Neodiprion lecontei: one gene and its partner. The protein of the gene in region 2 interacts with the protein of the main gene of each other region in a pairwise test. Links are inferred from orthologs where the notes say so. Each region holds a gene or a part of one and is shown on either strand. Other genes may lie near its edges.

Evidence for each region.
Region 1: the proteins of RING finger and CHY zinc finger domain-containing protein 1 (region 2) and androgen-induced gene 1 protein interact in binary tests that used the Homo sapiens proteins (3 or more experiments, as listed by UniProt). The link is inferred for Neodiprion lecontei from reciprocal best matches to the Homo sapiens genes RCHY1 and AIG1.

The regions. Positions count from the first base shown.
Region 1 is NC_060260.1:28,849,506-28,865,876, reverse strand, and holds androgen-induced gene 1 protein, read right to left. Parts: upstream 10,989-16,371; 5' UTR 10,912-10,988; coding exon 10,841-10,911; exon of another isoform or gene 10,687-10,840; intron 9,724-10,686; coding exon 9,510-9,723; intron 5,628-9,509; coding exon 5,490-5,627; intron 5,166-5,489; coding exon 4,948-5,165; intron 4,870-4,947; coding exon 4,718-4,869; coding exon of another isoform or gene 4,677-4,717; exon of another isoform or gene 4,632-4,676; intron 3,960-4,631; coding exon 3,907-3,959; 3' UTR 3,798-3,906; downstream 1-3,797. Other genes in the region: protein smoothened, read left to right, coding at 1-76, 291-492, 646-819, 1,019-2,306. UniProt on the Homo sapiens protein: Hydrolyzes bioactive fatty-acid esters of hydroxy-fatty acids (FAHFAs), but not other major classes of lipids. Show a preference for FAHFAs with branching distal from the carboxylate head group of the lipids.
Region 2 is NC_060264.1:7,535,592-7,551,931, forward strand, and holds RING finger and CHY zinc finger domain-containing protein 1, read right to left. Parts: upstream 11,304-16,340; 5' UTR 11,070-11,303; exon of another isoform or gene 10,869-11,069; intron 10,512-10,868; 5' UTR 10,419-10,511; coding exon 10,287-10,418; intron 8,554-10,286; coding exon 8,236-8,553; intron 8,090-8,235; coding exon 7,811-8,089; intron 7,703-7,810; coding exon 7,612-7,702; intron 7,537-7,611; coding exon 7,457-7,536; 3' UTR 4,998-7,456; downstream 1-4,997. Other genes in the region: uncharacterized protein LOC124294511, read left to right, coding at 58-1,780. UniProt on the Homo sapiens protein: E3 ubiquitin-protein ligase that mediates ubiquitination of target proteins, including p53/TP53, TP73, HDAC1 and CDKN1B. Mediates ubiquitination and degradation of p53/TP53; preferentially acts on tetrameric p53/TP53.

The DNA of each region.
Region 1 (16,371 bases), on a different chromosome or scaffold from region 2:
CACGCTGTGAGAGCGTGGTTTTTATTGGGACCTATTTGCATTGTACTACTTGTTGGAGGATATTTCTTATCAAGAGGTATATTATTTTGAACTGATTTTGTTTTCAGTACAATGCAGTAATTCATAATCTAATTATACCATTCTATTTTTATGCTTTCTTCCACTCGTACTCAAAGAGTAAGTATGTTGCAAGATTCGTATATCTGTCAATTGATGATTCTACAACTTGGATAAACTAATTTTCTAATTGATTCGAAAAATCAGTTTCTCAAAAGTTTCTCCTGTTTCAGGATTGATAACGTTAATTCATCTGAAGATAAGCAGTCAGGAAGTAATATCTAAGCGAGCTAGCTCCAAAATTCGAGAAACAATTGTGAGATTGGGATTATTTTCGATATTTACCTTTGTGGCAGTAATAGTAACATTTTATTGTCACATCCATGAATTCCAACACTCGTGGGAATGGAAACAAAGCTTCCGAGATTATATGATGTAAGCGTTTGGTTATGCATAATTATTGTGAATTTTTTGTTAATAATTGTTTTTAAAGAGTACTTTTGTATGACCACTATCACTATATTGCTACAAAATACTGGACAATAGTAAATGTATAATTTTTTAAATGAATACCAATTTTATGCTTAGCTGCACTATTACAACGAAATATACTGCAGGAGTATCAGAATGTAAAATGACATCAAGACCCAGCGCGGCCAAGCTTCAATTACATTTATTATCGCCATTCTTTGCTGGTGTTTTAATGTCTTCTTGGGTTTGGACGGGATCAACTGTGGATACCTGGAAAAGATTTCTTAGACGGTGAGAACAAATTCCCCAAGACATGGCAGCTATAAGTAAATTGATATTGTGCAAATACTAAGTTTTATGTTGAAGGTTGATAAAGTAAATTCATTTCGAATGAATGACAAGAGTTCTTGAGAATTCTTCACCAGTATGCACTTTCACAGATTACGTAAGAATATTGATTTACTTACTTCGAATCTGTTCATCATTACAGAACTTTCAACTGTGAGGCAGAAGAACAAATTATACCAAAAAAGTACAAAGCAATTGCTCAAGCCTATGAAAAGAGAAATACATTTAAAAATGCTGGACGATTATCTATAAGCTTCCACAACACACATGAAGATCCAGTTGGTCTAAATTTTGAACTAAATTCAGTAGCCTCTCAAGACTTCAGTTCAACGTGGGCAGCTGCATTACCAAAGCTGGTGACAAGAAGGGGTGCTTTAGTTGGTGTAACAACAGGATCTGTATCGAGCAACCGACGGAATTCCGTTGACTCAGAAATTAGTTTTAGCGTTCGTCGTGTGTCTGTAGAGTCCCGAAGAAATTCATTGGATTCCCAAATCTCTGTACAAATAGCAGAACTTAAGACAACTAGAAAAGTAGCTTCCACTACGTTACCTGGTAATTCTCGTAGCAGGCGAGGAAAACGTAGGAGGCGCGATTTCAACAAGACAAGATCTGGAAAAGTTAAACCACTTTTTCGAAGAGGTAGTACAACATCACAGGAGAGCGAACTGGGAGCCCAGATTCTTTCAGCTTTGACTATTGGAGGGAATCCCAACATTCCGCCCTTACAAATGCCAAACATGAAAAGAAGATCTGCCAGTGCTGGCCTGGATGGGCAAGCCATAAATTCAAAAATGCTAGATGGTAAAAACGCAGGCATGATATTGCCGTTTTTATTCCCAGGACAAAGTGAGAGTGACGAAAACTTGAGCAGTGAAGAGAAAGGTTCGCGTATTAATCCACGTAAAGACATCGATGTGGAAGCCTGCAATGTGGATAAAGAAGAGCAGGACAGTGAGAGCGAAGATAGCCATGCTGAAGAAAATACGAAAATGATATCTGTTGAAGAACCTCCCGAGCGAAGTAAAAGTAAGTCAAGTAACAATAGTACAAAGAGCTATATTCATGACAGTAGTGGTCGACGTAAAGAACTGAAAGTAAAAGACATGGAAGTAGAGCTCAAAGATATGTACAGAAAAGGTGACCTGGTATCGAGTTTGACATCTTTCTGTCCGGAGCTCTCTCGACTCATACAATCTGACGATTCGAAAACGAAGTTAACAAAGCGTCAAAGTGATGATGCAAACATTCAATCCAATGCCAGAGAGATGGCTACACAAACTTCTCTCCCTCTTGATATTTTAGAGATGGAGGAATTAAAGCAAAGTATTGATGAAATAATTAACAGTAGAAATTGTAGCTCTAAAGGGACACAGATTTCCCCACAACTCAACAAAACAGCTAATCGTAAATCTTCTGACATCAGGTAGAGTTGTTTAGTCATACATGAAAATTGAAATGTGTTTTAAGCCGGTTTAGTGTCAGGTAGTGTGGAGTCAACATACGTACTTGCGTGTTCAACAAATCTAAGCTATGTTTCAGGTAAAGCCGAGTACTGTTGAGATCTATACTTCTTTTAACGTAACTCTTTTAACGTAATAACATTATATTAGGATAAAAAATAAATCCAGCTAAGTAATAAGTATATTTTAACTCTGTTCAATGTCGGGAAATGTATTTCGAGAAATTGACCAACTTTGTAAAGCAAATAATTGTGATACTCAATAAGCATGATTACTGAACATTATACAACTAACCGTCACAATTTATTCATCTGAAATCAGATGATTTAATTGTACGTACTCAACACTTCTTATATTTCGTTATAATTTATAGTATCATGATGTGCCCTTAATTTACTTTTTTCAACTTTCATGTAAGCTATCTATTACGAGCATCCACGTACGCCATTTTACATAATCTTGTTGACATTTAATTAAGGTATGATTTAAGATGCATGCCAGAAGTTGGCAAAATATGGAGGCAAACAAATTCTTTTTACATATTTAACATTTTTTTTATTCTCAAATCAAGACTGACTGAGTGCATAACGTTCCAACTTGTTGGAGCAATATTGATCGTACTTTGTTCGGAACAAGTATCCGAGATCAATATTGTTTTCGATAGATAATTGTGTTATAGATTGACTCCAATTCTTGTACAGGTAATCAGTATATCAGCTTTTTTAAGTATTAAGTTTTATTATACATAGCATGGCTACTATCATAATGTCATGTTCAATTTTTTCCGTTTACAATAATAAAGTGCAAAAAAACCACCCATCCCATTGTGTATTATATTACTCAATGTCTCACAATTCGAAACAATGAATTGCTCGAGTATAGTGTTATCTAAAATGAGCCAGTGTAAAATGTTCGAGATGAATACAGTTCCTATTGTACAATGCAATATTTTGATGCATCTGAAATCATATTGCTTGAAGCTAAAAAATACGTACATTTTCACTTTCTATGGATAGTAATTTACAGTAAAACCACAGATAAGTAAGCCGTACTACGATTAAAGCACTATCGCACAAGAAATGAATGTAAACATTATTAATGAACACATTTTAGTAAACATTAAAATACTTTAAGGCAACAACGTTCTTGTTCCTTTTCGAGTAAGTAAACGAAGTACTACAATTCTTACTAGATCTCACAATCAAACAAAACTCGACGTACTATGAAATAGCTCATTCATCAATTTAACAATCTCCATTTATTTTTACAAAATGTAACAAATTGCTTCATGATCAGATCTGATTGCTGCAATAACTGTCCTATATAATAACTATATTTATCGTTATTGCTTAGATAACAATTATCAACGATTCTTATATGCTGAATTTTACATCACGGCGTAAACGTGATGACATGTTACAGTAATAACAAATGCACTGTTACGAAAAATGCGGAAAGGACAATGAAAAATCTTTTAATGATATGGATCAAAAATTAAACAAAAATATATAACAATTTATGCATTGGTAATAGCAATGAAACTATATAATACCAACAGATTGACCCTTCATTTTGATTTCTTCTTCTTGGCACTCTTACCTACAGATTTCTTAGCCCGTCCTGAAAAATATCAGATTGCAATTACTGAAGTTTTGTAAGTAGAGAGAAGTTAGAGTATGGGAAAATGTTATTTTTTCACAAATGTTAATATTAGCAACGGGAACATTCATTTGAATGCAATAAAACGACCATTTTAGATCAAGCAGCCCAAGGAAAAGTCTGGAAGTATACAATCAAGTACAATGGGTTCAGTAAACTTGAAAAGGTTATTCAAAGTTATTCAATTCACTTATATAAATTTGGTTCTTCAAAATTTAATTTAAACGTAAAAGATTAATACATGTTTAAAACATATATTGATAACTGAAAATGAACTGATTTAGTCGTTTTGTAAAATGTTAGTGACGTTGGACCTGACCTGACTTTCAGTGAGGTTACTTCTACTCCATCAAATATACATCCCCTTGAAAATATGCATTTGGTGGAGTAGGAGTAGGAAATAAATCGGCGACCAATTCGGCGGGCGTTAGGGTCAAACCTTGGTCATGTAAATTCGGACCACTTTACACGCACTTATCGAATTGCAAAATTAAATTTCAATTTTCCAACACAAAAACGCATAGATTAGATGTTCATCGATAAAATGTACTAGTTTTGAAATCAAAACTTAGACAACTTTGAACGTGTTCCTAAACATGCAGACGTGCATTCAAAGCACAAATGTGTAATCACCGCCATTGAAGAGTATGCATAGTTTCCTGACATTTCCTGTGAAGGCTACTTGAAATGAGATTTGCAGGGATGAGATAGAGCGTTACCCCAGATGAGCCGATCCAAGTACTCTCCCAAGATGTACAGAATTGCAGTAAATAGGAAAAGTACAACGAAAAAACCAACCCGCTGTGGCCACGACAGCACCTCCATGACAGGATATACCCAGATTTCGCTCTTTGCATAAATAATAAGCAACCTGCAGAAATAATTCATCATTAAAACATCATAAAACTCTTTTCCTCTAAATAATGCAATTATTTATGCTGTGACGTACCACACTAAGTAGGAAGCCATAAATATAAGTAGGCCTCCAAGACCAGATAATCGTTTAGGATACTGACGGGGAGCGACAATCATTTCAAGAACAGTAGTGACCATGATTAGAGTGTGCATCAGATGATTTAACCACCAAGGAAAATAAGGATCTACAGCAGCTGGTAGTACCAGCTCACGGTCCACGAACATGAGTGCCCAGAAAGTCACACCGACAAACTGAAGAAATACATGAAATGAAACAAAAGCCTATAAGTTCAACTTGGTACTTCATGTATTGTGGCAAGACATGTGCAAAAAGTAATCTCATCACATGAAAATTATTTATCTAATTCATACCAGTAACTGCTGCTCTATACTCTTTTAGCAAACAGCTCACATGGCCAGTTGTACATATAACACTATCCATATACTGATCATGGCAAGCTCGGATTAAACGTTAACTATTTGGTATACAGCAAGAAAAATTCTTGAGGAGGAAATGACGTTAATTTAAATTTTTAGTCTCAATAATAAGCTGAAAACTTTGAATATTATACTCACCATTGCAACTGGGAATCCAAAACTGGCGTGAATAAAGTCTTTAACACGGCGCAAAATTGGCCGTTTTGCCGGACTCAACTCATTGCTTCCACCAAAATCGTTTAGCAGGCACACGAAAAAGAAAACGGCTTGTAAAATCTGCGAATCGAAAACTTGGTTATTTTTTTTAACGAATGTCGGCAGATTTATCAGTAATCTGATATAAAATCAACCCGTGATGGCACGTATAGTTGGAGCACAACTTCCTTCAAATTGTATGTAATACGGTACAGTATTACTTACGCGCCTACGATATTATGACAGTATGCACATAAACAGTAGGTTTCCATGAGATTTGTAAATGAGACGTATATATTTAGAGGGGCATATTTCAGAGTACTAAATATCTTGGAATATACATTCAAATTACATTTTATCAGAAAAGTTTCTTGTAAATCGATTTCGAAAATGCATCGCCTAAAGTTAGCTGAAATGCATTTTTCGGCGACAAGGTTACATTCAAATATTTTTAGTTATGTCTAATCATTTTTCAATTCAAAGATAAGATTCGACTGAAGGGTCTGATTCGCTTTTCAACTTCTTCCAGTTTATTTACAGAGATGTCTAATAACATGAAGTTTTATTTGCAACGAACATATATATGTATTAGGGATCTCTATCGACAGAGTTTAATCAATTGAATAACAACGGATTATTCACCTAATATCCCCGAGAAAATTAAAGAAACAAATAAGTTTGACAAAGTTGAACTATATTGATTTATTTACCCTATGAACATCTAAAGTTTCCAAGTAAATTAATGTATTTTATAAATAATGAGTGCCAGGAATTAAAGAATCAAGCACATCTTAAATGATGTCGGTTATCATATATCAATGTTGTAATTTAGGATGTGGTTCTCAACCGCCCCCGCCTGGAATAGAAACCCGAGTGCATTTCCTGCCGCGGTCAAGTAACGCGTGATTAAATTACCAGAGTGCGGTTAGTACTATAATATGAACTTGGATAACTAAGTATACTAGTTTAGCTGGATGTGATATATAAATTGAAATAATTGCAATGGGCGCAGAGAATGATTGTTACAGAAATTAACTACAAAGAGCAATGTATAATTCGGTGTTTTCAAATTTGCCAAAATATCTCGGATTAGGATCATATAGTATAACATATCAGGATGAACGTTTTGTCAATATATATCGTGATATCAATCGAATCAAAATTTGATAAGCTGGTATTGTCCAACTACAATAAAATGACGCGCGGTCTGTGATAGAAAGATTACTTCCCCATTACGTTTACTGAATCGAGTTGAGCACGCGCCTGGAGAGGCGGGCATGCTTTTATCAATGTGATACACAAACGTGTATATCCCTATACAGCTTGAAAAGGCGACTTCTTCAATTTTTCAATTACTTATAATCAGTTTTATAATTTACCGCAGTTCACCGCCCAAGTTGTCTACACGTATGTATATACATATATCTATGTATATATGGACTTTCCGAGTATGATGTACAAGTAAGATGATGATAGTCGAGTTGTAAGAAACAAGTAATTCGATGCACGCGAAGTAAAACTGGCTTTCGTGTGTCCGTGTAATGTCAGGAAGAAGTCTCAGGAAAACTTATAAAACTTGTGCATAATATATGTGAAAGAAGTATTCGGTAATGCAACGCTTTTATTGCATACTGAAATAGTAATTGCAAAACCGCGTTCTTCCTTCACAATTACAACACGAGTGATTTTACTATCACTGCCTGTAGCTGTCAAAGAATATCAATTTCACAAACCCTAAGCGTGAAACGTGTAAGACCAAATACTAGTAGGTTCTTATTACTATACCCATATCACTCAATTCCGATCAGAAGAATAGAACCGATGTCATTAAAATACAATTAAATATTACAAGTCCTAATTGTATGAGATCGTTTTTAATATCTCGATACTTGTTTCCTACCTGACTTGCTAATATCAGTTTTCGATGCAAATAATTTCGATGTCCTAAAATTAACTTGAATCGATTGCAAGACAAAATCATAGTGCAGATATAGTATAAACCTTTGAATTTATGATAACTTTATATGTTTATTATAACTTTTATGATCATTGCCAAGTGGCATATCAATTAAGCAGTATTCAAAGGATAATTGCCTCCTGGTTTCTAACAAACATTCACAGTTTTAAACAAATTTGTAAAAATAGTGTGTATTGAAGTTTGACGGTGAATATCTTCTGAACAGTGAGGTATACAAAAAAATTGTAAGAGACGTTTTTTGTAGAGAATTCAATTTCCTATGAAAACATGAGTTGCTCGTATTATAATGACGTTTTGTTGAAGAGTTATAAAATTCATAAAAAAAAAGACATCTACCTTAAAATGATCAAACTTTAACCTTCAATAACTTCTGAACAGTGAGGTATACAAAAAAATTGTAAGAGACCTTTTTTGTAGAGAATTTAATTTCCTACGAAAATATAATATACATTTTTTTTTTGTAAATAGTAGATACCGAGATATGTATTTTTCTTCCTCACCATAAGAAAAAAATAGAAAACTGCGAGGCGAAGGACCTTCCTATTAAAATTAAAAGCTCATACTTGGAGAGACTGTTTTTGAGGTCTCTACCAACCAAGTTTTCGGAGTACAAAGTGGAAAAAAAATAGTCGATTTTTTTGGCCCACCCTAATATATAGTATATAAAAAAGATAAGTTACAGCATGGATATATTTCCAGCAGGCAAATTCGATTCAAATAAAATATTTGTAAATAAAGTTATAGTATAATAATAAATCGCGAACTGCACGCTATAAAGAGCTGAAACTCAGTGAACAACGGGTAATTGATTTTGCGTCGTTATCCAATTTGTACTTGACCCGTACACAGGCTTCATAACCCCGCAGCTATTCGCGCGGAATAAATTGGGAGTTTCCAAAATTTTGTTGACAGATTCCCAATAAACCGCGAAGCAAGGTGTGGAACGCCGGTAATTTTTATCACCATCAGCTGCTAGCAGGCAGTGAAAACCTGCAGCGTGACCGCAAAAAAGCAGTACATAAAAACTGGCAAAACTTATATACCATTAAATATACATAAAATATATATATAATCAACCAAAGATTCGTGTATTATTCGAGTCTTGATTTCGGGTAGATTATATATCTCGTTATTATCAAATTTCCGTGCGACCTGTTCGTGGAATTAGATCATGCAGTTTCTATGCAAACCGATTAAGAGATGATAATTTAATTATATTTTCAAATATGTATGCCGTATCCCGGATGGAAGAATTTCAAAACTTGTAGTTACATAACGCAAAGAACATTCCGTTACACCATAACATAATTCATGTTCCTTCCAGACAAGCGGCTACCTTTCACTGTAATGTGCAACAAACAAGCCTTCTAATAGCGTCAAGTTTTTTTTTCCTCTTACAAAAAAAAGTGAAGCGACCAACGAATAAAAACTGAATATCTCTAGTCAATTTATTGCGAGGCTGAAACTAAGCAGCCAAAATTAGCAGCCAAATGTTCTAATGTTCATTTGAATAAGGTAGCGAAGTCCTAAAATCAAAATTTTGTCAAATGCCTTGAACGTCCAATACTTTTGTAGAATTATTAAGATAAAACCGAAATGCATTTTTCTGTTTCCACAATGTTTAGCACGTTTGGCTGCTAGTTTTAGCTTCATAATTTATTGATTGTACGTTGTTAACTATTTGCGTTTTCGTACACTGTAGTGTATATACTGCATATTAAATAATTGAGAAGTATATAAAATAGGGCTCAAATTTGCTGACAAATCGATTAACTCTATTCATTTAGTAACATTATTCTCACATTGTGAGAAAAACGCACATTTCGAAGAAAAAAAAAACTCAATTTCTGAAACATGTCCGAAACATCTCAAAATTGTCGGAACAGCATTTCTTTACTCAAATAAAGGCATTTTGATTTAATGTGTTCATTTCAAAGTGAACGGGGTAAGGGATATTATGAAATTCAATTGTGAAAAATACAAACCGCGTTCCAGAATGTAAGAAATTTAAATCTGCCGCCGTAGGCATCATGCATCCTGGCGATATGTCGAGGGACGACTGTATAGGTGTGATCGTAATAGACCGCGAATGAGAATTGCGCGAAGGCAATCGCGTGCATTCCTCTCAGCAGGGTGTCCCGCTTTTTGTTCCTGACTCCCGTAGCGTCCATTTTTGTGATCTCAGATTCGTCTAATGGCCTGTAAATATCACAGTCTCTGTTTCCTCCACCGAAATAATACCGAAAATTTTGTACACCCGTGCAGGTTCGAACTTTCAACAGATTATAATTACAGAGCGAGAATCGAGCGTGCACAAGAAAATTTCAACGAGTAAAGAGGCACGAGTTGACTGTAAACAAGACAGCGATATAAAATAGGAGGTTGCTGTATTTTTATTCTCTTCTTTGACCCGCGTTCAACTGGCGATCAACTCTATCATACATCACAGATCGAGGCGATTTATATAAATTATATTGCAATGATTTGATGCACCAACAATCAATCAAAACCGAATGTGCAAATATATTAAGAGAAGCATTAATTAAATCGTGAAGTAAATTAAAAAGTACTCCGTTATCAGACCAATAAAATTTGCCTCAAGATTGATTGTTTTGAACTTTATAATCCCGACCTCGTAATTTATTCGTAAACTGTTTATTATAACAGACTCGAAGTTTGAACCGTGATAATAGATCTACATATGATGATATGTATATGACGGCAAAGTGACGTTGATTCCAATGAATAATTCAACTTCATGAATCTATCGGTATATAAGTTAGTGATATTAAATTGTTATTATCAAGATCAAGATCGTGCCTACCGCTACAGGAACCATTGAAACGACCTGTACAAAACGGTATGTCAAATCAGTGTCTCTGCTACAATATACCCGCGAATTCTTTTCCAATACGTGAAATTTAGGTCGCCGATGGCAAAATTACAGCCTGCCGAAAAGGTTATAAATCTCCACGTGTGAACGTGACTACCGAGTCAAAACATATCCAAAGATCTCGGAATACGTTTCATGATCTCAAACTACGAAATATCGATGCGAAATGAATATAACTGTACCGTTCATTCGACGATCGAATCTATCAATACTCGAAGTTCGAATCGTTTTCCGAGACCAAATACACATAATACGTATGGCATGTATACCTTGAACTTGGAATGTCACGAATAGTAGTATACAGATATCGAAATACGCACGGAGGTTCGGTCGGTAAGAGTCTAATTCACCAATTTACTAGGTGTGCTAGATTTCCGACTCCGTGCTGAGTCCCGCAGTGTTGTATAACCTCGAAATATTTACCCAAGACGAAAGTGACTCGCACGGCGCACGACTGCTGACGATGGCCAGCTCCGCACTGAATGTATGCACATACAGAGAGAGACTGGATGGATGAGAGAACGGGAAAGTCGAACTACAACTCAACCCGCTGCGAAGCGAACGCACGCGCGCTTCAACGGGAGTCGGACGCGGCACGTGTATGCGGAGTATTTACATGATCTTTGCGTTTGACGCACTCCGCTGCAGCCTCGCGACGCATTGTTGATTTGGGAATCGCTTGAAATTAGACGCGAGATACGGAGAGTGTCTTTGAGCTCGTAAATTGAACATCGGGAACGGGATAAGCATAGTTTCTGACTTTTCATAGGGTCTGACTTACGACGGAAGAGGATTTGGATTTTTCCGGTTTCCACGGACTTTTCTAACGACAAGAACTTTGTTTACATATCTTTTCGGTGATCTGTCTTGGAGACGGAGAAAAAATAAGGAAACGAAAATCGCTGCGTTACACGCTAACCGCTTCCCCTCACGTCAACTTCCACATCGCGAGATTCAATGCAATCCACACCTCCCCGAATTTAAAATCTTACCAAGGCTCACAGACTATTTACATGGTTTTATCGGGTTCCTCCGGCTTCGTTATTTTTTAGAAATCAACTGTTATTTGACGAAAAGTCGGATATTAATGTAACCATTGTCACCATTCAGATGATGACGTGCAACGGACTCATGAGAAGAACCCGCCAATCCACCCCTGATCCACGGATCTGCACGAGACTTCGCAGAATGAAAGAGTAATAAAAATAAATGAACACGTGTTTCGGCTTGTTCGTAAACATTCGATCATTTCCGAGAAATTAATGTTTAAAGTTTCGACGTTGCTTCACGAGTCTGTTATTTCCTATTACTTTTAAACCTAATACCCTGTGGCGTATTTCGGAATAACGGACAGTTGCTTTGGAATGATAAGTTGTCATTTCAATATAGCGCCCTTGTATTCATCAATAAAATAAGGAAGGAACATTCGTTAAGCATACCTCGACGAAGAAATGGAAAAAGCAAATTGGTCGGTACTTGAACACGAAGCGCAAAGACTCAAAGTCGTAACGAGCAGATTCATGAAGCAGTGTCGTGACTTTAATCGTTATTTTCTTGGGAGACGGTCGAGTGTTTACGGATAAACTAGAATACATGTTCGTTTATTTTCATTACTCTTTCATTCTGCGAAATCTCGTACAAGCCCATGGGTTACAGTTGGTGAGTTCTCCTCGTCAGGTCGAGGATCCATTTTGCAAATATTACTAGCGCTATGTAATTGTAAAACTTAATGTACATCGCTGTTGCGGTTTGTTTCGGCTGTCTTCCTTGCGAAAGCTCACCTCTTATATGAGGTCCACTAGTATTTGATTGTAGGTTCTCTCTTTTTATCTACGTTATATGGCTTCTGTGTACTATATTTGATTACTAACACATGAATAAACATTAAAGTCTTTTCTAAGGAGGGACAGAAGCGTCAAAATCCTTTGACTTTTCGTTTGACACCGAGAACCCTGAACCTACATTGATGATAAGATCGAGAAAACATCCAACATAAGTAAAATATATCTACGTCACTTCAAACTTTGTTAAGAATTATCGTTATTAGCTGCATTCGGAAGGAATGTTGTTAATTTTTGAATGGAAAAATATATACACGGATTAATCGGTTCGGTTAATAACAGAAAATCTGTGTGATGAATAAACTGTTCGTAATTCGCATCAAATTTTAAGGGTTGCGATCTCGTTGTCTCGGTCAAAGTTTAATGATGATTCGTTGGAGTCATAAGTTTTGATCCACCCATGCATTGTAGAATTGAATTACATCAATTTGAGTAATTGGACGTTATGCGATTGAAGGTCGACTAAAGTTGCTGTAGGTGAAGACTTTTTTGAAACACGTAAAGAACACTATGACTATATATATACTTTGCAACTTCTACTACGATTATTGTTTACACGTAATTCCAAGTACAGCTTTTATTAAGAATAAAAGTATTAATTTTATTTTCAACTCGCACTTTCAACAAATGCAATATAGCTTGTCATGTTTGCAATATTATTACCCGGGTATAATAGAAAATCGTAACAGGTTGCATTGAGTCAAGGTTGTATGGAGTTATTTAAAAATTTTAATCCACTGGATATGCAAGTTTATTTAAAGACCAGAACAAACATAAATATAAATTATTTCTCAAACCAAGGATATATCTCTTTAGATATTTATATGGAAATTGTTAGTTCCATTTTTAACCTTTACCCTGTCACATAGGGTCTTTCGTGCTCGCGTGATTTCTTGTTATGTGTATATTTTGTAAACTAGAAGGCCCGCTGTTTTCTCCCAAATGAATAATTAAGTGATCAAACTATTGGATCTTCAATTAGACATCTCAAAGAACATGCATGAATTTCCTCAGAATTTTCTGAGCAATTAAAATAGCCAAAATAAGAGTAGGAAACGAAACACCCCATGTGACAGTAAACGTATACTGAAAACTATGTGACAGGATAAGCGTTAATTATATAGTATTAGCGTATGAAATCATTCCGTTTACACACGGTGTGAGAGAAAACGGGAAAGATAACGAGTAATCAAACAATTCAAGATACTACTTGACCCCGGTGAAATCTATCTATCTTATTTAACTGCTCATTGCTTAACCGATACCATAAAGTTACGTAATAATTCGAGGAACATTCCAAGCATTGATAATGTGCAATTCACCCACAGCAGAAAAAACAGCACATCATTGTAATGTCTGCCGTGCTTTTTTTTCATTTTATTATAGATTTCGGATAATTTTGGGGCGATAGACTAAATTTTCAGTTGCAAAATAAACAGCCTGAGATGCGAATAACTCTAGGCACTATTCAATTGGTGGTCGAAGCCCGTTTTGCAGATAACAGCCCGTATTGGGAATTCAGTAACTGATTACACAATTACACAGACCGCAATAAATAATTATGACTTAAGACGTATCGTTGAAAATACATTTCTAATTTAAAATTAGCCTTCTGCGATACCATATTTTTTTATACTTAGGAACGACAACGCCATCAGTGATATTCATTCTGTTACTTATTCGACAAGCCGTTGAAACGACTTTTACGAGAGTAAAATAACTTTTTGTTATAATGTACGGAATTGAAACTCACCAAGTTCCAAAAGGTGAGAAACTTCAATTGGCCAGGGTCGAATTCTGGGGCTGGATTTCTCTTAGGAAAATGAAGGTGCAGTATCGCATAAGATATCGTGAATACGTATACTCCCAAAATCGAAGCATGGGTAAGCCCATAGCACGTTTGTTTCCCGCGTTGTTTCCACTATGAAAATACAAAAGCGTGTCTATAAAGCCATGAAAAAATATCATGCCAGTAGTCATTGATTCAATGATAATTATGATAACGACGAATCCTCAGTCTTCTAAAACAATCGAATCTACGTTGATATAATGTGACAAATCTCAGGATTTCCATTAATCAACTAACAGACGAATGTTGGACGTGTAATCCATCGTCATTATGATATGATCGATACGATACGACGAAGATTTGGTCGAAATAATGTTTGAAGAAAAACGAAATTTGTTTGTCTAAATACTTGGACTAAACGATGCCATTAGCCTACATCTCTGTCTCAATATCTGTAAACTTCCAAAGACTTGCGATATTCAACAGAAATTTTCGACGCATCTGACGTAACATGAATGGATACAGGTTTTACAATGACCTTCTCACATTGCGTAATACATGTAACATATGTGTCGCGTGTATGCGGCAAGCTACAAGTTTGTGCAACAACTATGTTACAGCTCTGGCTGCAATATTGTATAGGTACCACGTTGAAATAACGTAATTACAGACCCCACAGCTTGTGATTATGTGAAGATACAAGTGTAATGTTATCTAATATACAGAACTTGGTACGATATTTTTAACGCACTTACTGTATGTAAAATATAGAAATTATAAATCTAATTTTAGTTGAAGATAAAAAAAAAACTCGAAGAATAAAGTTTGAAATTATGCATTTTTTCATTTTTAAGGTATATACGGAAACAAGCAAAAAAAATCCGGCTTCTCAAATTTCTACCTTTTACGTATGTATAATACATTTTATGAAATTATCGGTAAGAACAATCAGGATTATAAAAGATGACAGAAGTGAGTTAATGTTTGAAATCTTTGGAATAAATATTAGGTTATCCATTGATTCACTGTTCGAAATTAGTAACTATACGTAATATTATGTTTCAGAAGGTGCAATGACCTGCCCTTCGACGAACTCTCTCTCTCTCTCTCTCTCTCTCTCTCTCTCTCTCTCTCTCTCTCTCTCTCTCTCTCTCTCTCTCTCTCTCTCTCTCTCTCTCTCTCTCTCTCTCTCTCTCTCTCTCTCTCTCTCTCTCTCTCTCTGAGCATCCTGACTTGCACTGTCCAATTTATTGTTAGTTTTATTTGCTGTGAGTTCTAGCTCTTTCTTGAGCAAGACAATGTACGCATATTTTGCCAACTAACATAATTAAAAGTCATTCTAAAGTTATAAGATCGTTGCTTTTCCTTGTAGATCACCATCACCATTTTGCCATCACTACGAAATTTCGATCTCGTTAAATTTCTACAACTATCACAAATAAATTCCCGGGTTTCACCAGCAATCCCGTATCACTGATTACTTGAAAGAAAAAAAAAGAACCGAGACCCGAAGGACAATGCCGATTTTAAAATTAAACTCCGCCAATACCAATAATTATGGGGTATAAATATACTATCACTGGAATACTATTGAACGGACGTCTGCATATAAAAGTTAAAGCTGTGTGCAAAGTTCACTCGTGTCAAGGTATAATTCTCTATACTGCTATAAAATACCGCTGCGCGATCCTGACGTAGCACAGGAGGCTGAAGCTAGCAGTCAGAATTAGGAGCCAAACTTTCAAACGTTCGTTTGAATAATGCAGCGAAGTCGGAAAATTAAAATTTTGTGCAACACATTGAACCCTCAATATTTTTATAGAATTATGAGGATAAAACTGAACTACATTTTTCTATTTTCAAAGAGTATGATACATTTGGCTGCTATATAGCTTCAGCTTCATACGTTGCATAGATAAAATATAAAGAAGTTTCATTGAAAAATAAGGTTCATAAATATTCTCCGCGATATGTCTATGCACGTAATATAATCCGACGGGTGGGTACATATTTTTATGTAACGCTATTGTAATACGCAACGCCGCGTGTACGTACCGAACTGACCTTACTGTCCGTCATAGCGAAGCCGTCCTTCCACGCAGTCCGCGATCAACCGAACCAAAACGAACTCTAGCTCAGAAATTGGAGCCAACTCGGCTACAGCGGCGACGATATCCTACTCCTCATACTCCTCGGCACTCACAAGAAACAACTATGCATCGGAGAGCTCTCTATAGTATATGTATGCCGAAAGCGAGACGATATTTCAGGCGGAATCGTCGCACTCAGATAAGAACTGCTACCGTAGATTACAGGACCTGAAA
Region 2 (16,340 bases):
TAATAATTTCTCTCATGTTTGCTCTTTTGACTAAGAAATCGTCGACACGTGTTTCAGACTCTTCCTGAGAAAAGGTCCGGAACTAAACATCGTGATGGATTCTGACAAGAACTTCGCCGACAAGAATCCAGTGATATTCTCAGCCCAATTTTCGGTGCTTCCGGTTCGCCTGGCAATGGAGAGACACGGCGATTCGCTACCTTCGGCAGCCGAATGTTCGCTGGATTGTTCGAACCACAATTATCAGCGTCAATGCAGGATCACTTCGCCAGGATTCCCCGGCGTATATCCGAGGGGAATGCGGTGCAGAATATCGCTCGAGTCGACCTCGGGAAGGTTTAAAATCGGCGGTATTTCCGACGACATCTTTAGCCTGATGAACTACACGGTCCAGGACGGATGCAGGACCGAAAATTGCGAGGACCTGCACGTGGAGGAGGACGCGCGATCTTCAGGGGAGGAATCACCCATCGAGACCGAGTCTTCCGACGAACCGAGGCACCAAAGAGGTTTGAAGAGCTTCGACTACCGGCTGGACGAGGACGACGAGGTGATAATCGGCAGCGACGTGAGACAGAGGAAACCGAAGGCGATTAACGGGAGGCGAAAAATGACGGAAGGTAACCGACGGAGGAGGGTGAAGAGTAGAAGAGGAAGAGGAAAAGGGGGGAGAAAATCGTCGGGACCGAAGAACGCGGGACAGAGATTCGACGAGACTTTTTCTCCGTCTTCGGGGCTGGGTGAAAAGATTTTCGAGGAGACGGCGATGGGACAAATGAGGAAGAGCAGCGCCCTCTTCGACCACAGATTTAAACGGCGACACAAGTCCTTGGAGAAGTTTGACGGGTTTCGTTGCGTCGGCGATTATCTGGCGATATACGAAAACCTGAACGGTAAGATCGTCGAGATATCGAAATTCTGCGGCGAGGGTAACGTTCCCGAAATATTATCACGCGGTCGGAACGTGATCGTAGAATTTTTCAGCAAACGTGACGGTACCGTGATGCACGACGGGTTCAGACTTACTCTGCAGGAGACCATAACCGAGCACAACGAGGCCGCGAGGCACCGGAAGCACTGCGATTTTGTATACAAGAGTTCGGACCGGGGTACCAAGGAGAGCATCAAGTCGTTCCAGCATTGGTACCCACCCAGCACTTTGTGCAGCTACAAATTTGTGGGAAAAACTGGAGAGCGGGTATTCGTGCAGCTGAAGATAATACGTAACTCCTTCGAGGACGAGTCAGGATCAACAGATTCTAGGCGGAATTCGAGCCTGAATTACTGTCCTGGTAACGAAATCACCGTCTACAATGGAGCCTTTACCAACGATTCGCTAGCTTGGTCCTACTGCGACATCCTCCACTCCGACATAAACAATATCCAGGTACCGGTAACGTCGACTGGAAATGTTTTACTCGTCCAGTATTACAGCTGGAAAGGGTCATTCAATGGACAGGAGTTCACCTACGGTATATCGTACAAGTTTGTGAAGAAGTCACAGAGCGCGGCGAAGCGGAAACCCGACGTCCTCAACGAAACCAAGATCGCGATCTCGCTAAAGCCGGTCAATTTTTCCGCCCTCAATCTTACCGACTACGAAAATTGTAATTGTGACTTTTCGACGAGGATCGGAACCTTCAAGAGCTGGTTCATAGTGCTCGTCGTTCTCGGTGTTATATCGTTCTTTGGCGCCGTTATTACCATCGTTGCGCTCCTCATGAAGTGCCTCAAGATCAGATCCATGGAGAACAAGTTGCTGCAGACACCGAAACGGTGAACGTCGATACGTTGAACTTGTGGTCAACATTTATCGGATGATGTATCCAAAGCCGCCGTCTATCGGGAACATCGAATCAATTGTTCCTGACGAGTTACCAAAAGTCGTTCATTTTTATCTGGTTAAATATCTACGTCGCTTTGTACCACTGGTGTCATCGTATCGCGTTATTTGGACCGCACGTGATGCATGGGATGCGGTTTTTCACGGTGGTACGACATATAGAATTACCATAAGGCGTGTGATGCATTGTTCAAACTGCGTTAACCGTATAACAGTGTAATTTATTCGAACATATCTGCATGAGTATGCTTCCGTAATGTCGTTTTCCTGTCGGTCGCTATTCAAGTTCAATTATTGGTTTGAAAATATCATTCACAGAGTCGTGTAGAGAACCATTAACTGTGATTTCATGTGTGCGGTGTGGGGGATTGACATCTTCGTAATTCCAGCATACTTTAAATGGCCTCTAATCGTTCGATGCATTTGGTTCTAAACTGCCTCGGCTTGGCTGCACAACACTGCGTGATCAATTTATACAGCAGATACTGTAAAGTGTGTCAAATTTTTAAGGAATCGCCCATAGGCACAGGGTTTACATGCATCGAACTTGACTATCTGGTGAGTGAATTTGATACCCGTTGACTGAGTTAGACATTATTTTAGCGACTAACTGTATTATTACCAAAAACTAGGTGGGTAAGTAGCATCGCAAATATCATGTACCTATAATAATATACCTTACTCTATATTTATATTTAATAAAGATTTACATTACTATAAACATACCTGATTCATCTGTTCGCGCATAGTACGTAAAAAAAGAACCGTGAGATAAGAAAAAAAAAAATCAGGTCCCACCGAGATTTGAACTCGGATCGCTGGATTCAGAGTCCAGAGTGCTAACCATTACACCATGGAACCTTGAAGCTGAAGGAACGAATCAAGGATAACGAGGAGCACTGTAAATGTGATACTTTTTTTCGCAACCGAAATACGTATTCGGATATCGGAAATTGATTATTCGTTAGTTATCGTCGGCTAACATTATTCCGCTCAAAGTTTCGGCTCAAACAATTTACTTCAATAAATACAGTTCTGCGTAATGCATTGATATCTGTATCAATCTAGAGACTAGATTTGAAAGTGAACAATTACAATTAATCCAAATTAATATAATTACGGACGAGGTCGGAGACCCGGGCAGGCCGAATCATATAACGCAAATTTATGCGGATGGCAGAATCAATTTCTCAAGCTCCGCGTCGTTGTGATTATGCGCAAAGTAATATTAATTGACAGGTGAACTGACAGGGGGATGTGGAACAAATGATTTCTTGGTATTAATTAAACGAATACAATTATTGCTACGTGCGTCATTCGGTGTGTGGGCTCAGCTTCTCGGACCACGCAGCTAATTTTAGACAATTATTATAAGATTGCCAGGCTTGTGTAGAGCGTTGAATACATAAGTAAATTTCCTTGCACACCTTGCCGCCTGCAGGGTTAAAAATGATGTTTGGCTCCGAGATGAATTATCCGGTATCCGGATATAAGAATCATTTTTCACTCGAAATCCTGCTCAATATTAATTTAAATTTACAGAACTACAGCTTAAAATATTGCGATAAGTTCTCCGAGTGATTTACTCGTAGAAATAAAAAGTAAAATAAAGAGAGTTGCAGCTGATCCGTCGATTCCACTTAAAGCTTTGAAGGACTCGATTGTTTTTTACAGTCGGTTCGTCAAATAATTTTATTAATATACTTACGCTGAAAAACACCAGGTTTTGTGGTTTTCGAATTTTCACGTACTCTGTTGATCGAAACTGTCGTATAAATTTATAACCTGTGACTACGATACTTCTGATTGTGAATAACGTGAAATATTTTTGTTTACACAACGGAGAAATTTTTTGTGACTATATTTTGTAGCGGACGTAGGAATTATTGTGACACGCGGCTGGCTGTTTGAGCAATAAATTTAACTAATTTAGAGTTTTGAACCATTTATTATCCGAGAGAATTTATGACTATTTTTTATATTATACGTATCAATCATGTATTAATATTGATCTAGAATGGAATATACTTTGATTTACGTTGACAGACGTGAGATTTACGAAATCAGATTAAGGTATTTATAGCAGTGATGCTGTTGAAAGTTTTGAATCGTCCTATCTGTGAATTGGAATAATCCGATATGATAGTGAAACTATCAACGTTCTGTTATACGGATCAGAAATATTATCGAAGAATTATGCTGCGTTTTCAAGAGCTGTGATCGCAATTAGTAAATAGATTAATCGTAACAACTGAAATGCTACAATCAATACTTCATACCTCGGAAGGAAAAGGAGTACCACAATTGTTGCTTAATGGTTCAAACTCGAAATATACTAATAACATAAGACGAACAAAAGAATGTTATTGATTCGATCTCACGATGTTTTCGTTATCGCGTTCGAGTTGCTTGAAGGAATTCAAAGGCCGATCGAAGGAGTAAATTTGGCGTAATAACTGTTGATGTTACGAAAATCGAGTAGCTCCAGAAATCTCAAATACAACGTCATACGACGCTTGGGAACATTCCTGTGACGCGGCAAACAATTAAGTGATTGAAAGATTCAATTGGAAGTGCGTGAAAATCCACACACCGATAGAAACGAGGAGGGGCTTTTGGAGTTCTTCATCTGAGATTTTACCGATTTGAAAAACGCTGGAATGACTTCATCCGAACACTCCATTGACGTAATTTTGCGCGAGGTATCGACGAGGCAAGTTTCAAAAACGCTGCAAGCAACGGTTCGAAAGTTACAGCCTAAAAACGATAGTGGTGCATTTTTGGTGCGTTTTCTGAGTTTCTGGGGGTCCGCTCAGTCCAGCCAGGATCATACAAAACAAATCTGAGACAAAGATTTTTTGAGAAAGGCCCTATTCATCTTCTTTGTTCATTTTCTTTGTTCAACAAATTACAAAATAAAAGAAACCGGTTTTGTAAACATCAGGTACCTTGTTTAGCAGTTCTTCGGATCATTTCTCTACCGATCAAATAAAATCAAAATTTGTCCGGCTCAAAGAAACAATAGTAAATGCCTTTATCACCGACGTTGAAGCAGCAAATTTCGATCTTACAGAAATAGCACATTTACGGACCTACATTTGCGAGGGTTAAAACCGATGAGATAAACAGCCATGGGATATCCGTAATGCAAGTGTGAGGTGGAATTTGCAGTAGTAAGAACAAAGTACTACATTTTATTCAGTTTTTAAAATCACATGTCAAAGTTTCTAACAAATATACGCACACATACACAAATTATCGAATACACGATATCTACGAATTTTATCAACTACCGTTTTTCGAGTAAGTGGAATAATGAATAGTTGTTTTAAGAATCTCTGTATTCAGTACGGAGTGATACTGCGTCGAAACAATTCACACTAATTGATCATATTCGTGACAAGTTCAACGCACGCAATATGTTACGACACCTAGCTTATACGCTTGATGTATTGGAGAAAAGATCAATAAAGATACCAATAATCATTGGTACAACGAATTAATTGAACCCTTTCCAGCCGATTAATATTACTATATCTTTCCAAGGTACATGTACCATCGCAGCCCAACTTGTCTCCAATTCGGTACATGTATCAAATATTTCTACGTGCATAAAGTAGAGAAACCTATTGTAATGAGATAATATTATTTTCCTTAATTCTATTGAACAAGTACTGAAGTAAATAGAGCCTAATTATTTAAAAAACGTTCGCTGCGTGCTAATATAAAATTGATAATTTTTTATAGTACAGAAACCTAAATTCATGATTACATTACAATAAATCTCTCTGTACTCATGTGTTTAAGACTCATTTCACACTTTATTTCTCGCGTGATAAACAATCACGCATCTTTATTTACAGCAATTATACATATACAAAATGCACTATTTAAGAAATAAATCTCTGGCAAATCGTTGTGGTACAATAATATCTTTCTACCCTGACAATATTCCACAATCACTGAAACGGTGATTTTTCACTTCGAAAATAAAGAAAATTTTGTAAAGGGACAACAATATGCAACAACCAACTGGGCGGAGAAGAGGGTGATTCAAATTGCGGTGTGTAAGTTGAACGAGTTCAAATACAAGCTGCCTCTTGTACGCAAGATAAGTGACATAAATTGGATGAAAACAACATTACGGGGGCAGCCAAATAACCTCAACATTTAACGCACAGTGTATAGTGGTTTTCAAACATGATAATGATTTGATTAAGAGGTACAGTTGCTGCTACCTTCATTTCCTAATAATAGTTTGATTATTACTAGTTTCTTGGAATGTAAAAAGTAGTAAGATTGTTTGTTTTCTAACTAAAAACTGTTTGTATACCGATTAAGACCTGTATAAAGATCAAAATAACTGGTCAGCTTGGCCCTATATGTGTAAACATAGGTTTATGCCCAAAAGGAATGTCTCAAAATCAATTTACTAACATTAGAGAAATAAAAATATTGATATATAACACGTGTACGGAAATCCTTCAATTATACTAACAAGAAACACGATTTTAGCTCAAATGCTCCGAATTAGGAATGGCAAGCCAAGGGAATGCATAACAATTGATTACTAAAATTAAGCAAAACGTGTTTTGAAGACAAAACAACGTTATTTATATAGTTAACGGCATTTTCAACGCTTTGATACGCAGAGAAAATATATCATTAACGAAAACAACTACGTCTTTTTGGTATCAATGAGAAAATTACTCATGCTAATTTTATGGCCTTAATCGTAGTGTATATGTATTTACATATTGTCGGCTTTCGGACAAATGTTTGACGAAATTATATTTTATTAACAGCATTTGTTTCTATGCTCTTTCTTAGTTAATAAAATTAATCTCTAATTCAACTTAAAGCCTCGATGCCTCGTCAGGGTTCTACATATCTTAGTATAATTTGAGTATAGGTATACCAATTGTAGTACAGATATTACCTACAGCATATATTCATTGAAGAGAAACTCTAATAAAGCTAAGCAAGCATTTAGACTATTTTAGTTCCGGTATTCATACATACCCGCAATGGTGGTTACTATTGTACGTATTTCTAAAAGATCTTAAATGCACTGCACGATAATCAATGAAAAATAGAATAACAGTAGATTATAAGTAGCGAAAATTGCCTCCTAATTGAAAAAATTGCTCTAAAAGATAAATATGTACGTTTCAAAATGTAATAATACGTTTTTCAAACTAGAGAATCTTTGTGTTATGAATCGTTATTCGTAAATTCAAGCATTCCTCGATTTTATGCCACTTGCTTTTAAAAAAAGGCAAATCGTGAAAATCGACTTAGATTACAATCTGATAAACATTTCTCTTTCCGGCATTAAATTATGTAAGCTGCAAGACTAAGCGTTCATAGTATACATAAGAGTATACGTGTATTTTACAGTTTGAAATTTAGGTACTTAACAACCGCATGTGGCTTGCAGAATATCCGTTACATTCAATTATTCATTCAATGTTATTCGAATAAAATCACACACATTACACACATTTCCCTACTGTTGAGAGTGCAATTAACGTAGGCCTTCAATTTGACGTACCGTATCGTGAAAATTTTCAGTTGAATCTTTTCATCTAAAAATATTGATACCCAATATCATTACGGGGAATCGTGGTCTTGCGAACTTTCCTCATCTCCTGTACCACTTCCACCAGCTGCAACATCCAAGGATTCTGGATCTGATAGGAGCGAACGAGTGTAAGAATAATTCCATTAAATTTTTTTTAACTTGATGGTGTTAATTCAATATTTACCAGGACACGGAGACCCTTTGATCCTGCATGTGTTGTAACTTCCGCAGTTTAAACACTTCAAGCCAACCACGTGAAACTTGACAGTGGACTCCTGGAACGTTAAATTGATGAGATGGGAGAAATTGATTGTCGGGAGATTTGTCGCAATTAAAAAAAGCATACATCGTCAATTGGCAATAGGTAATCAATAACATCTAACCTCGTGACAATCCTTGCACAATATATCGGCCTTGTAATCTCTGTACTCAGGAGGCATCGGTGTCTGTGATACTTCGTTGTCTAAGAATCTCCAAAGTTCCGACATGTCTAGCAGGGATACCTGGCAGGTAGGACAGGCATAGTGGCCAGAATGTAGAAGCTCTTCGAAGCAGGTACGGTGTAACAGATGTCCGCAATCAGGAATGTGGCATGGAATTCTACTTGTGTGAATGTCTTCCAAGCAAACCGGACAATTTGCATGCGAAACATTTTCAACGCACTGAAATGTAATTAAAATTTGCAATACATATTTACTTTTAAGTATTCTGCGTCAGTACAGAATTGAATGAGGAGGTATCAATAAGAAACAAGTAAGATCCTTTGCTAAAACCTTTTCATGTCGTGTAATATTTTTGTTTTATTCACCTTATGACCATTCTGCAACTGCACCGGTAAGCACATATTGCATTTAGCACAGTGAAAGAACCTCTCACGTCCTCCGACCCTGCAAATCCCACATCCATCGCAGTGATACTGATTTTTATCTTCGTCGTCGAACAAGTTGCATTCTAGACACGTGTACTTTCCAAATCTGCAATTGCATTTTTGACAAGTAGCTTGCACTGGTTGGCGAGTATCGCACAGGACACAGATGAGCTCCGTTACTTCTTTCCTATTAACGGTATGGGCTTCTTGCTCATCGTGACAAAATCTGCAGGTGTAAACCTTGTTGCAGCATGGCGTCTGTAAAATGAAAACAAATCAATTGACTTATCGTTATTCGTTATCTTATTATCTCGATCAAGGATTAGTCTATTTGGCACGGACAAGTAATAATCCTGAATTGAAATTAACAAAACTTCATTTACATTCAATTAATAAGCTAAAAAGACCCATATTATTTCTAAATGCCTTCCGATTATAGATTACAAAGCACGCGGTACACCGTCACTCACGTTCAGCAACAGAGATAAATATATATTTTATTGATCCGCTGTAAAGGTTCACACATGTACTCACAGCACAGAGTTTTAAGCTTCAAACTAGAGGGACGAGGCTAAATGAAATAGTAATTATTTCCAAGTATGGACAATGTCTAAATATAATAAAAGTACTGTTCTTTTTACCAAGAATAACTCGTAAGATTGTGGAAAACCCATTGACTTTTCATATTTTGATTAGCTAATACTAGAAAAATGGATGTCGTGACTTCAGTGAATTCACTGCAACAGTTACAGGATTGAGAAAATTGTATTTCTCTGCTGCAAAACAGATTGAATTGTGTTGCAGCAGTTTGAGCACCACTGGTTAATAATTGCCTTCATAGAATAATAGAGTGACAACTGCACAATGTTCTGGTTCAGGGTTGGCTGACTGATCTGCAATTCTCTCGAGAATTAATAATTTTTCCATACATTAAATTTTTGAAAAGTAAAGATTCTTATTTATTTTTCTGGACAGATTGAGTTTCATACAATGTATCTCATATTAAAAGTTAATATCTTTGAAAGAATAAGAAATTTAAACTTCCAAGAATGCCAAAGAGGTTCAAGTTTTTAATGTTAGCAAAAATTGTGGATCTAAAATTGATATTATGCAATTTTTCAACGGCTTTGAAGAAGTCACGTTTCTAAAATATAAGTATATCTTGCTTTATTACGGTTTATTAAATTTCAGTCAATCGTAAAGTTGCAATACAACAATTTTTTTCTGAAAATTCATCGTTAAATTAACGTAACCAACTCCGACCTCATGCATGCCAATCGGTTGAATCAAGCATCTTAAAATGCCTCATGCTTGCCTAGAGCGACCGATGACTACCGTCTTTTACTTTAGATATGGCATTGTTATTCTTATAGGTTTCTAAAAGCATATAAGGTAGTAAACAATGGACGAATGTAGACGTGTCGTTGATCAAATACCATTTGGTAACCTGCTCTGTATGCATTTGAAAGCTATCGAAATCACGTATATTCCACGTGCTGCTCTAGCGGTGTTTATTACCAAGAATTCATATTTGCACGAGAGTCGGTTAAGCGTTGATAAGGTAGGTAGATGCACGTATGCTGGACTCTCCGTAACTTCTTAAGTGCCAACTTTTTGTTTGGACAGCTTCTCGTTACAAGTATCGCTACTACATATAGATACGATTCCCTGCGGTTAAACTATCGCGTATTTTATGAAAAGAACAAAGCTCGTCTAATCGACGCTAGCAAGACAATTTCTCGCACTTTGCGCTTAGTGCTTAAAACTCCAGAATATAGGAAGTTACGGAGAGTCTACCGCGTGTTACGTGTATACATTTTAATTAATATGAGTACATTATTTTCAACGGTAAATCGTACTGGCGAATAATTGCTATATCAAGTTATAAAGCAGATGCGCAAATTTTTCAGCATACTTTATTCGCTTTGGGGGATCTGGATGAAAACTAATATGTTCATGTGAATTAGAAAGTACGAATAAATGAAACTTACCACAAATTTCGACTTTCTTTTGTAATGTGCACAACCAACGCTTGCCTCGTCTGTTTGATCGGAGGTTTCGTCATTCTGAGATTTGTTATTAGGCTCAGATTCTTCAACCTGCTTGACATCACTGTCCTCCATTATATAGTTTATAATTAGCACAAAGCTGCACTTGCTTGTTTAAATTATTAACACACCTTGAATGATTGGTTGTGATAAAATTCGAGACAGGAGCTGTAAGAGGAGGTAAAAAAAAGTGTCCTTGCCAATGTAGATATTTAACGATTAAGGAAATAAGAAACGATAGTAAAAAAGAAAGCCTTGCAACAATTATTTATGCCCTGTATTTCAGCTCTCACACTGAAAAGGTCAAAATAAAACGAATTTTCCCCCGTTGTTCGAAGCCTTTTCAATCCAACCTGAATGAAACCCTTAACGGAATGTTACAACATACAACGTAGAAGGAGAATAGAAATAATAGTAAAATAAAAGCCTTGCAACAATTGCTAATGCTCTGTATATTTCAGCTATCACACGGCAGCCGTCTCTCGCAACTCACACTGGCAAGGTCAATATAAAACAAATTTTTACCCGTTGTTTGACGCCTTTTCAATCCAACCTGAGTGAAACACTTACGGCACAATATTTATTTACGCACAATACGCAATTGTGCGATTAATGAGACGAGACCCGTTAATACTCAGCACCGTCACACACATACGCAATAAACTAAAACAAATATCACTCGAATGACAGGTTACCCGACACATTTCTGACCGATTCTCCAATTACCGTGATCAAGGTTCCCTCATCGGCTACAAGATTTATCGCTGGAATTTTACTCGGATTAAAATCAGCGCGAATCAAGATACGTTGTTAAGTCAAGCATTATTGCCACAAACGTAATTTTACAAGATTTTAAGGACGACCTCTCTCGAACGGCGAACAGCCGAAACTTGAACCGGAACTTCCGACGCCTGCCTGATACAGTGATTACGGATCACGTAAACATCCGGTAGCGTAAATATATGGCACTAAAAAATATTATTTACACAGGTGTTGAGATAATTGGTACGTATTTGAAGTCACAGAGATATTTGCTGATCTATAGTTTTCTGAAATAATCAAAGAAAAACACAGTAAAAATATTCTAAGTCATGTCGCCTTCAACCACTGACATCAATAATTCGTTCAAATCGTGATTCGAATCGATAAATAAAATACATTTTAATTCACTACGTAAGAAATAACGTTGGAAGTTTTCGCGAGATTCAAGAAATAGAAAACTAGAATATTCGATATTGGAAACGGATAGCAGTGATGGAACAACAGCGCTACGGTATCGTATTATCGTCGGCGTTGGTAGTTTCATCAACGGCCGCACGCGTCGCTACGTGTACAGGGGTATCACGACATAAAATTACGAGGCCGTCCAAATAAATGTTCGAACGTTGACTGAAGATAATATAGACGGATACCCCTGGGTAAATTTTTGTGACCAGGTTTCGGTGGGCAGCTGGGCAATTCATAATTATTCCAACAACTTTTTATTTGCTCTCTCGATCTTTAATTTTCGTAGGCATACAATCGAAACGCTGTTTTAGCTAGTCGCAACTGAAGTATCTCCGTTGGGTAGAGAAGCAGAAATGTTTTTCGAAAAGTGTTCGTATGGAACAAAAATTCAGAGTAACTTTAATACATCACGGGTGCGCTAATTTTGATCGAGATGAAATTGGATGCCCCGTACATGAGACAGTATTTAACGCAGTATCCTGATTTAAAAACCTAAAGAGGTGATTGTCAGCAATTTTTATTTCATTTTTATAGGGAAAGAAAGAACGAAGGTTCTTAAAACTTCGAGTGTATTTTAACACGAATTTGAAAGGTACGAGCAAAAATTTTTATCATCCAACTGTCGTAGAACGGCAGCGTTATTAGTTGACCCGTTAACTGAAGAATATATCTTGAGTCAACGGCTAATCATCGAAGGGCCAAGCCGCTTGAGTCTGGAATTGACGGAAATGATAAAGTGCGTGTTTCTTGTCTGTGAAACGTGAAAACTAAGATCATTATACATCATATCATATCATCGTACATCATACATCATACATCATCATACATCGCATACATCATAGATCATACACAGTATTGAAGTTCGAAACCAAAGTTTGGATGTTCATATGTTCGGACGTTCAGACGGTGACGTCACTGAAAATTTTTTTTCTGTTGACGTCATCGATCTATAGTAATGAGCTAGCCGATTTCCTCAGTCTGGAAACAACCGCGCAGTAGAGCGGACGGATGAGAATCGCGCTCCGCAGATTTCGAGTACCGGGTTCTCTTCCTCCTGGATCCTGCGCTCCGGGTCGGCTTCCTGGTGCAATTCGAGTTCCAGAACAAGCGAACCGTAGTTTCTGCGCTCCAGGTCCGCTACCTGGTGAAAATCGACTTCCAGGACAAAAGATCCGTGGATCCTGCGCGCAAGGTCCGCTACCTGGAGAAACTCGACTTCCAGGACAAGCGCTGCGTAGTTCTGGCTGCTCAGGTCCTTGACCTGGTGACTTTTGACATTCAGGACTAATTTTCCGTAGTTCTCCAGTTTCTCATAGCGCTCTATGGTTCCTGCGCTCATGGTCCACTACCTGGTGTAAATTGACTTCTAGGACAAGCGCTCCGTGGTTTCTGCGCTCCAGGTCCGCTACCTGGTGAAACTCGACTTCGAGGACAAACGCTCCAGGGTTCCTGCACTCCTGGTCCACTACCGGGAGGAACTCTACTTCCAGGACAAGCGTTCCGTAGTCCTGGCTGTCCAGGTCCTTGACCTGATGACTTCTGACCTTACGGACTAATTTTCAAGTCTACAAGTTTGATTATTGAAAACGTCATGTTTTGTACTATCAAATCAATATGTATGCTTCGGATAACATTTTGAATCGGAAAAAAAACCAACGACCAGGATCAACAAATTGCAATTGGTGAGTGGTTGGCACTATATAAATAGGAATATATGACAATAACGTAGTTCAATTGGAGCTAGAATTGCTGTGCGTAGGATTTCAAATCTGTCAGCACTTAGATGATTGTTCTGTGGTATTTTTTGACGAAATTTATTGTCATAGAATCACAATGCGTTAAACTTACATGCATGTGTGAACGTGATTTGTAGCATTATATAGAAAAAATATAACTGGCAGATTCGGTTTGCGTCACATGCACGAAGACAGTGTTCATTCTGTATACTGTGAAGCAAATACCAGAATTTTTATGGAGTCATCGTGCCCCAGTCTCCCCTACAATTATGTCATCTGGTGAGAAACTGACTACGAGTCAGCGAGCGCACGAGCACAAAACTAGTTACACTGGGCATTCGAACCCGAGCGCGCTTTACAGAGCGAGTGTTTTAAAACTAGTTATTTTGAATTCGCACATCATTCTATTATCGATGTACCAAAATGACCCAAAAAACCGTGATATCCTATTATTTGTCGAGCTCAAACGTAAAAGGTAACGATTTTTACCAAGAAATTTCTGAACGAAAATGAATGTGATTTAAAGTTTTTTTATGAGTTATTTAGTTCATCGATGATGAAAATATACGTCAATTCAAAGTTTTTATGTGTTCTTATACTGAAAATATTTATTACTATTCAAGGTATAATGCAAAGTGGTTGGCGGTGGTTGGAGGTGGTCAGAGGTGGACGAAAAGGACAAGAATTTGTGCTCGGTGAGTTTAGCATGTTTATAATATTTAATTGCAATTGTAATTACATTTTATCTAAAATTTATTAAACTTGTCACGTTTACAATAGATTATTTCAATTCATTTTTCGCGCAAGCACAAATTCAGTGGCTATAAATGCGTAGATAAAATTCATTCTACAATGGATTATTTAATTTATTATATTAATCTTTACACAATATTTTTGATGTGTTCTTATACTGAAAACATTTATTACTATTCAAGGTACAACCCAAGGTCGTTAGCGGTGGTCGTTGGAAGTGTTCGGAAGAGGACGAGGGGGAGGACGAGGAGGACGAGGATTTGTGCTCGGTGAGTTTAACTTTATTATAATATTTAATGGCAATTGTAGTTATATTTGATCTCAAATTTTGTAAACTTGTCACGTTTACAATAAATTATTTCAATTCATTCTCCGCGCAAGTCCAAATTCAGTAGCTGTCAATGCGCAAGTAAAATTTCTTTACTTTTTGATAAGTTTCTCATAATCTTCTTGGTATAATGTGTCAATAGAAAAATTATATTTAATCAGTACACAATATTTTCAAGTGTTCTAAATTTCACGAAAAATATTTATTAATATTGAAGGTATAACCCAAGGTGGTTAGCGGTAGTCGTTGGCGGTAGTTGGCGGGGGTTGCCGGTGGTAGAGGAGGAGGACGAGGAGGAGGATGAGGAAGAGGAGGACGAGGATTTGTACTCGGTGAGTAAAACATTTTTATATTATTTAATGGCAATTGTAATTATATTTTACTAAAATTTTTAATCTTGTCACGCTTACAATAAATTATTGCAATTCATTTTTCGCGCAAGCCCAACTTCAGTGGCTATCATTGCGATAGTAAAATTCCTATAAGTTTTTATAATTTTCTCATAATCTTCTTGGTGAAATGTGTCAATACAAAAGTTATAATAATCCTTACACAATATTTTTGATGTGTTCTAATAGTTAAAGTATTTATTAGTATTCGATGTATAACCCGAGGTGGTCAGTGGTGGTCGTTGGAGGTGGTTGGCGGTAGTTGGAGGTGGTCGGAGGTGGTTAGAGGTGGTTACGGGTGATCGTGCGGGACCAGGAGGAAGACAAGGAGGAGAAGGACGAGGATTTATGAATGGTGAGTTTTTTATTTTTATAACATTTTTATAATATTTGGTAGCAAGGTTGATTATATTTTATCTGAAATTTTTTAAACTTGTCATGTTTACAATAAATCATTTAAATTTTTCTTCGTTCAAGCACAAATTCAGTAGCTATAAGTGCGCTGATAAAATTTATTATTTTATTAATTTAATAAATAATTATATAAATCCTCACACAATATTTTTGACGTGTTCTTATACTGAAAATATTTATTACTATTCAAGGCATAACCCGAGGTGGTCAGCGGTGGTCGCTGGAGGTGGTTGAAGGCGGTAAGAAGTGTTTGCGGCTGATCGAGGGCGACAAAAAGGACGGAGGTCGTCAAAGGTGATTGAAGGTAGTGCGATGGTGGTGAGGTGTTGGGGTGGTGTGATCATGGGTTGTTGGGGTGTTGGGGTAGTGGAGTGATGGGGTGGTGGGGTAAAGCTGTGGTGGGGTGGTGATGGGGGCAACCCTACCCCCTACCCCCTACCCTCTGCCCTACCCTACCCTACCCTACCCTACCCTACCCTACTCCTACTACTACTACTCTTACTTCTACTGCTCCTACTTCTACGTTAACTCCAACTCCTACTCCAACTCCCACTACTCCAACTTCTTCACCTACTACTACTCCTACTCTAACTCCTACTCCTACTCCTACTTCTGATCCTACTCCTACTCCTACTCCTAATTCTGAATATTGATGTTATGAAATATATGGACTGCATGTAGAATTAAATCCCATATCGAAACGAACAATTCTTTTATTGTCATATTATAGCCGATTATTGTGAATAATCTAGTATGTTTCCTAGACAATTATAAAATTTATAGTATGCATCACGTATTGATCATGAATAAATGATAAATATCGCTCGTCTTTGCTCTCCTGTTGGTCCCACGCTCTTTTCGCTGCGTTTTCTGAGTTCCTGGGGGTCCAATTGGTCGGGAAAGAGTCTTACAAATCAATTCTGAGACGGAAGATTCTTCGATCAAAAAAAAAGAAAGGTTTATAACCCCTTTGTATTTTTGGCGAAAATTTTCGCGATTTTGGAAAAGGCCGGAATAAATTCTTTCTGGCACTAGTCCGACGTAATTTTGCGAGAGAAATCGATTGGGCGCAGTCTTAATAGGCTGTGATCAACGGATCAAAAGTTACAGCCAAAAAACGAGAACCTGTGTTTTCGACATTTTTCAGCTG